Daphnia pulex: one gene and its partner. The protein of the gene in region 1 binds, or shares a complex with, the protein of each later gene. Links are inferred from orthologs where the notes say so. Each region holds a gene or a part of one and is shown in the gene's direction. Other genes may lie near its edges. The genes, in order: exosome complex component RRP45-like and exosome complex component RRP46-like.

What was found.
Region 2: exosome complex component RRP45-like (region 1) and exosome complex component RRP46-like share a complex: the UniProt entries of both Homo sapiens proteins name them as parts of the RNA exosome core complex. The link is inferred for Daphnia pulex from reciprocal best matches to the Homo sapiens genes EXOSC9 and EXOSC5.

What each region holds. Positions count from the first base shown.
Region 1 is NC_060019.1:12,894,472-12,898,763, forward strand, and holds the start of exosome complex component RRP45-like, read left to right. Parts: upstream 1-1,444; 5' UTR 1,445-1,584; coding exon 1,585-1,650; intron 1,651-1,716; coding exon 1,717-1,811; intron 1,812-1,882; coding exon 1,883-2,055; intron 2,056-2,120; coding exon 2,121-2,391; intron 2,392-2,452; coding exon 2,453-2,677; intron 2,678-2,740; coding exon 2,741-3,015; intron 3,016-3,094; coding exon 3,095-3,132; coding exon of another isoform or gene 3,133-3,153; exon of another isoform or gene 3,154-3,208; coding exon 3,209-3,349; 3' UTR 3,350-3,362; coding exon of another isoform or gene 3,363-3,485; 3' UTR 3,486-3,512; intron 3,513-3,561; coding exon of another isoform or gene 3,562-3,810; intron 3,811-4,079; coding exon of another isoform or gene 4,080-4,137; intron 4,138-4,180; 3' UTR 4,181-4,191; coding exon of another isoform or gene 4,192-4,292. Other genes in the region: protein FAM92A-like, read right to left, coding at 1-70, 134-698, 764-892, 960-1,061, 1,144-1,184; histone deacetylase complex subunit SAP30 homolog, read right to left, coding at 3,363-3,485, 3,562-3,810, 4,080-4,137, 4,192-4,292. UniProt on the Homo sapiens protein: Non-catalytic component of the RNA exosome complex which has 3'->5' exoribonuclease activity and participates in a multitude of cellular RNA processing and degradation events.
Region 2 is NC_060020.1:3,912,480-3,915,750, forward strand, and holds exosome complex component RRP46-like, read left to right. Parts: upstream 1-1,587; 5' UTR 1,588-1,736; coding exon 1,737-1,824; intron 1,825-1,913; coding exon 1,914-2,027; intron 2,028-2,088; coding exon 2,089-2,210; intron 2,211-2,276; coding exon 2,277-2,417; intron 2,418-2,499; coding exon 2,500-2,691; 3' UTR 2,692-2,725; downstream 2,726-3,271. Other genes in the region: serine/threonine-protein kinase D1-like, read right to left, coding at 546-677. UniProt on the Homo sapiens protein: Non-catalytic component of the RNA exosome complex which has 3'->5' exoribonuclease activity and participates in a multitude of cellular RNA processing and degradation events.

The sequences.
Region 1 (4,292 bases):
CGTCGTCATCGTCTGAGCCTTCCATTTGTTTTAACTCTTCATATTCCTCCACCTTCAGTGAATCCAGGGACTGTAAAACAAAATCCATATCACAGAACTGATCAACACTCCAAGATTTAGTATGAATAGATACCTCGGCTCGCTGTCTGTAATCAGAGAAAGACTTGGAACGTTTGACCTTGGACGCAGTTTCTGTTGGTGTGTTAGGCAACGCAATTGACGGCACAGATTGGGCTCTGGCAGGACTGGATTCTGGAAGAGGCATATAGGTCCTTAAAGTGTTGCGGAATTCTTCCAAATCTGATTCCACATCGACGTTTTCCAACTGCTGATAGGCTTTTGTAAGAACGGACAACGACGTTGAGTGAAAACTCATTTCGATTAAAGCCAATCGCTTCATCCAGCTAATAAGATCCTTGAGCTTCTTCTTTTCGAGCTTGTCGGCTCGTTCCTCTATAGACTTGCCTAGTCGGACAGATTGTGTTGTGGCGTGTGCTAAATCACTTTCCGCTTTGCTTATTTGCATTCGTCCCAACGGGTTTTGCTGCCGTAACTTGTGAACGTATTTTAATTGACTTATTTCTTTTTCGTACGCAATGCTACAGCTTCGGACGTCCTCCATGGCCGACTTGCAGACGCCCGCGTAACTTGAAATCTCTTGGATGACAGTTTCCTCCAAACGGTTAACGCAAACATCTCTTTTTAAAAATAAAGTCGGTTAATTAATTTGACTAATTTTTTCGTTACGAATTCAAACTCTTACCTGTAATCTGAAATGAAAGAAATGTTATCGGCAAAGTCTTTGATACCTTGACTGCAATTTTTGTTGACATTTTCTGCTGTAGCGTACTCATTTAATGTCTGTGCCAGAAAATCGCCTTTATCCCGCTGACTGAATTTAGATTTCACAGGTTATGTTTATTACGAACACCATCGAATTAAGGTATAATTAAACTAACCCGGCTATTTTTCTAGTGTATAACGCTAGAGCGGTGCAGATCTCACCAAAGTGTTTTTCGATTACTTGAATTCTATTTTGTATGAAGCGCGTTTGGGTTGCACTTCAAGATTTACAAGGGTTGGAAACAAGAAATTATGTACATGTTTAAGATTTTTCTTAAATTACAGCAAAGATAAATTTACCTTGAGTGTGGCAAAGAGCTGGCGCTTGGTGAACGAAACATTGTTTTTTCAGCGTTTATAAGAAAAAATACTATTCTTCCGTGCTTGTTTTGATTTCCATGTTTCCGTAACCGTGGTAACGGATCGTTCCAAATTTTAAACGCTGCTGCTTGGTTTGCTTCAAAATATTGGAAATAATTGTATTATTATAAAATTTAAGTTTTTTTTAATGAAAAATTATCTTTCCTGATATTTAGGAATAGAAGTTAAGATAATCATAAATCTATCTAAATCTAGAGAAAAGATTTCGAGTGGCAACGTTGTCTGTCATTCACGCACGTGGTCTGCTTAAATATTGTTCTTTTTCAGTCGGGCAGAATTATTCGTTCTTTTTATTTCCATCGTCAAATAGTGCTTAATTCTTTTATACACTGGTTTAGTTATCAACTGTTTATATTTAAAATGAAAGAAACACCGCTATCGATTTGTGAGAAACAAACTGTAATCCAAGGCGTCAAAGAAGGACAAGTATTTCTCACAGGTCTAGTTGTTGTTTTTCGAATTTTGTTAACATTGTTTACGATTCATTCTTAGAGAGTTGACGGGCGTAGTCTCTCGGAACAGAGAAAGACTTGTATTACATTCGGAACAGAATGGGGATGCTGCCAGGTCCTTCTTGGAAACACAAGGTATCATGTTTTAGTGTCATTTTTCAGTACTTGTTTCTAACGTGTTTTATCCTTAATGAATCTTTTGTCAGGGTGATGGCGCAAGTTTCTTGCAGTGTCCAAGTCCCGAAATCATCAAGAGCAAATGAAGGCATGCTGTTTATCAATGTTGAAATGTCTACTATGGCAGCTGAACATTTTGAAGCTGGCAGATTAGGACAACAAGGCATTGAAGTCAATAGGCTAGTTGAAAGGTGCATTAAAGGTAATGTACATACATTGCCACTCATACATCAATGGCCCTTATTACATTAACTATTTTAAAAACAGATTCCCGCTGCATTGATTTGGAGAGCCTGTGCATTTTGGTTGAGGAACAAGCTTGGGAAGTGAGAGTTGATATACATGTACTGAATCATGAAGGAAATCTGATTGATGCTGCCACTTTGGCTGCTCTAGGCGCTCTTTGTCACTTTAAAAGACCGGATGTAACTCTCGATGGTCGGGATGTTATCATCCATCAGCTAGATGAACGGGATCCAGTTCCACTCACTATCCTACATCATCCTTTAACTCTTTCCTTTGCTCTCTTTAACCAAGGGTAACTAGATCGCTATATTTTGTTTTCCCTTTGGAAAATGTATTTATAACTTTCCCCATAGGAGAATTTGCGTCTTGGACCCAACAAATTTAGAAGAACGTTCTGCCGATGGAAAACTTGTGATGGGTTTAAATGCATACCGAGAACTTTGCACATTACAGATATCTGGCGATGGGGTGTTTATCCATAAAGAAGCAGTTATATCGTGTGCGAATGTGGCAGCATCAAGAGCTGTTCAAATGGTTGAAATGTTAAAAAAATCTCTGGCTGACGATGCCGCCGAAAGGTATTCAGCCTAATTCTTCGGCACCCGAAAGTGAATAACATTCTCTTTTTGCAATATTTGTAGAGCCAAAGGAAAGTACAGTGGGTTAGTTGCTAGCGTAGCGCTGGAAACAGAAAGAATCACCACTCAGTCACAGGCCGAAGTGTATTTCAAGGCGTCACATCATAAGGCTGAAGTATCGAAAAAAGAACCTTCGGCAATCACGAAGACGAAACTTGTAAACGATCAAGGAGTTGTTACATTAGAAACCTCTTGCGATACGTCCAGCAGCGAAAGTGAGATGGAAGTTGAACCACTCCCACCTGTGGCAGTAAAAAAGAGGGTCTACGAAGAAATAGGTAAAAACATTGGTTTCGTCCTGTATCTCGTCTATCGGCATTCAAATCTAATTTTCTCACCGTTTCCTTAATTACATAGATGTTGGAAATGATAGTGAAGAGGAGCCTGTCATGTTGGTAACCAGCGAACTTACATAAAATGACTATGATGCACCGATTAAACCTTTCGTTCGAATGTATTTGAATTTACAAGGTTAAATTAATAATTAAAACATGCCAAGGAGAAAACAACAGACGCACGCATATTTTTGAGTTCCATCCTTTCGCTAGTTCATCATTTCGAAGACAAACGTGCTTTAACGTGATTTGCACTGGGGGAGGGGTTGAAGCATAGACAGACCACGGTTTTACAAGTTGTCATTGTTTGGTTTCAGATCGAGTTTGTTTTTATTAGATTTGACGGTGTAAAGGAATGAGTGGAGGGCTTCCTTCTCCACCACGGGAATAGTCCGGAAATGGCGCATCAAGGTCTATCATTTCAATCACGAGGATTATTGGTAAGTAATTAATAATAATAATAGTAGGTTAACTAGGCAATATCTGTACCTCTGCAAGTTGTGCTTTATTGAGGCCTGGTCGAGTGGGCACTTTGTAATGTCGCTTGTAACGCCTTAGCGTATTGATTTGAAGTTGGAAGAGATCAACTTCTGGAGCATCACGTTCTCTTTCTTGCAGACTGAGCGTGTCTCGATCTGTTTCGTTGGAGTCGTCTTCAGAATCTTTCCTCTTGCGCTGCCGGACTCGAACAGACTGAATTAAGCTCTTGTGGTAATCACAAATATAGATGTGTCTGGCCTATAATTAAGAATAATAATGCACAAGTTAAATAATACTTCATGAATCTTGAATAAAACTGACAAGGGAACATCCACAGTGGTTGTGCCTTTATTGGTCTTCCAAAAGCGGAGGGAATGCTCAGGATTTCCAACACTTTTAAAAGTCCAGGGCAATTTGTGACCAAGTGAAAGCCTAATGCAAAAGACAGGTAATTTCTACTTGGACACGAAGGACCCTTGAATAGGGGGTTTTCTTGTCCCTACTGAAACTTTGTGTGAATAACTTACAGAGGAGTCCATGTGTAGCCGTAGTTTCCTTTGTTGTACAGTCTTTTGAATCCGTTTACTAATCAAACAAATGTTGAAAATAATGTTTCTTGATCAATTAGAGCACACATACCTGTAAGAGGCATTTCCAGCCATTCTAGGACATCTCTCGCCATCGTCAATCATCTGATCAAATTCAATCAGGCAGCAATGTTGATCATGGCTTCGCTTGGA
Region 2 (3,271 bases), on another chromosome or scaffold:
GAAAAAGGAAATGAATCTGGAGAGGGCAAAAAAGGGCGAATTGCGTGAACAAACTGATGGGACTAGGATTCATTCGCCAAAATCCTGGATAGTAACACAGAAAACGTCAGCAACAGCTAAAAGCTTGAAAAGGAACGAGTTTCATCAAATATTTGACATGTCAATGCACAAGACATTTTTCCTTCCATCTCAATCATCCTAAATCCAATATCGCAACGTGGCTGCTGAAGAAATCGATTGGCCCCCTCTTGAAAAGAGATTATTTCTAATCATCCAACCTTATTGATCATTTAAAGCAGGATTGTGTCAACAGTTCCCAGTGGAAGTGGATGGGAAAATATGGAGAAAAATTCCGAATACAACAGCTTAGCAACTTAAAAGGCAAAAATATACACGGCAAACACACTTAAGCAACGACAGTGATGACGTAATATAATCAAAACAAAAAAGCTCTCTGGTTACTACAATAAAGGCGTTGTCAGGTGTATAGTGATGCATGGACGTGGAGGTAATTGGATCGGCGTGTAATGTTCAAAAACACTTACCCGTTGATTAATAAAGTTGCAGGCCAAATCTTTGAGCGTTTTCAGCGTTAACTGGGAGGCATCCGTGGAGATAAAGTCTCGTACCAGTCCAACTTGGAACATAAAGGTCACCTGACCATTACCATCATCCATGATGGAGCTTGGATCCAAAATTTTATGAAAAACACAATCACAATTATGGCGAAGTTTGACTTTTGGATGGCAGTGAAATTCGCACACACACAAAACTGGCCCTTTTTCGTTGGAATAGTCTGTGTGGTTGGTGTGTGTGTGTGCAATCAGGTGGGAGCAATGGAGTAAAAAAAAAAAAAAAACGGGTTCCAGCAACCAACAGGTTGATTGGAATGTCACATAGCCTCGGGCTGAGATCACCTTTTCTTTCGTCGTTCTCCCGCCCTGGCACCACTTAGATTTTTCCTTTTCTTTCTTCTTCAAAGAAAAAAGGTTGGGTTTTTACCTCCACTTGATTGCACGACAAAACTGAGCAACACGACTGTTTTAAAACCAACACAGATGGGAGCAGCACAACGCGTGATAACACGTTGGTGATGAAAAAAGTCGGTGCGAATAAGAGGGACTGGCTAATGGAAATGCCCAAACTAAATTCAATTAATACGCAGGTTTCCCAATCATGATGGCACACACAAAAAATTCACGTATAAACATCACACACACACACACACACACTAGCACACTTTACGTTCTCTCGAGAAATGCAGAAACAGACTCACGTACGTGTGTGTGTGTGTTTCTGACCGTGCAGCTCAAGTCACGATAACTTGGTAGTCTGCCGAGCTAATAAATACTGTCGCTACTCGGAGATCCGTCTTTGGCTTGCTCACAATTTTCTGGCCAAAAACAGCGTTGCCATTCTCTCGTGACTGAACGAACGAAATCCATGAAAAATACATATTCATAGCTACATTGGAAAATTGTGAATTTTTCAGGTCTTCTTTATTACAAATATAATAGTTGTTTTAAATTCATGGAGTTAAAAGTTATATTTTGTGTGATTAAGTAAATGGTTGCCATGGTAACTTAGAGACATCTGCAGACTGCTGTTGCCGACCCGTCAACCCCATGTATTTTTTACGATCACGTTGCTTATGCAGAAACAGGGCTGCGTTCTTAATCTGAATTATTGAATACTTTTTCAATCACAAAGAATTGCTTGCAATATTATTATTCGCCATGGAGACTGAAGAGAATAGCATTCGTGCTTTAAAGTGCGAACAAAGCGTACTGTCACGTGCAGATGGCTCGGTGATGTTTTCTCAAGGTAAGTTTAGATTTGTAACTTTTTCCACGCTGTTTTCGTGTTATTTTGTCCAAGTCGGTAAATTTTATTTTATTGACTTGTCATTTCAGGGAATACTGTGGTAATGGCTTCAGTTTATGGACCTTTGGAGGCTAAAATTCAAAAGGAACTGTCCGATAGAATGTACATTGAACTAAACTACAAGCCAAAAACAGGAATGCCAGGTTATTAATAACTTATCCTGTGTATTATTATTTCTGTAATATTGAATGCATTTTTATTTAGGTGTTGCTGAGCGTGGAAAGGAGAAACTCATCAAGACCACTTGTAATCACATTATTTTGACGAACCTGCACCCTCGAACAGCTGTCTGCATAACAGTTCAAGAAATGCAAGATGGTGGAACTGTAAGCACTTACCACAACAAATTTATTTTGATCAAGAATTAGTTGTTCACATTTTCCATAAACTAGTTGCTAGCAGCCTCCATCAATGCTGTGTGCCTTGCACTTCTTGACTCGGGTTTACCCCTGCAGTGTCTTGTAGCTGCAGTGACTTGTTTGGTAGACAAGAAGGATAGAATTGTCCTAGACCCATGCATCAGCACAGTCAAAGTATGATTTCCACTAAGAATTAACTAATTTTTTTCCCCCATTTTTTGTTGTTGTGCCTAACTTACTTTTTTCCCCATTACAGGAAGGTTATAAAGCAATGTTTACCTTTGCTTTTGACAGTCAAAAATACAACTTAATTCTGAGCCACTGTGAAGGCCAAGTTCCCTATCAACTTTTTCAAAAAGCCATGGAGCTGTGTCAGAAAGCCAGTCACGTCATCTTTGATTTCTACCGGCAAGCAGTACTACGAAAGTTTTCCAACGAACTTCTGTAAAACTTTCAAAAAATACACATTTTAAAGTTTTGTATATGCGACTGAAAACAAAGTATAATTGTATAAGTATAGGCTTGCTTATTTCCAGTATCGTTAAATTTCTTCGGAAAACCAATCCATCCTAATATGTCATGCGCATCTAGCAATACTCGAGTAATCACGTTCACCAAAACTATATCTAGAAGGTTTCCTGCCCGGAGCTTGGCTCCAATGCAATGCGGTACAATTTTGACACAAGTTATTTAGGTATAGTAAAAGTGCCGATTGTGAAATCAGAAAAAAAATAAACTTAACTTTGAAACAAACTCTTCTTAGAATGACATATGGTAGGTAGTTCTACCATTTTTAGGATTTATTCGGTCGGAAAATGTAGCATAAAGGAATTTCTTTTATGGTTATTCTGAAAATTTATTTCAAGGTGGTCTGGATATATCGAGTGCGATTTCAGCCTTTACGGTAATAGGCCTTGAAATGTTTTTCTCAATTAGAAAGTTTAGCCAATTAGGCTGTCAAGTCAAAGTCAACACAAATAAAGCAATTCTAAATTTAAGTCATGTATCACCTGATTCCAGTTTCGAGT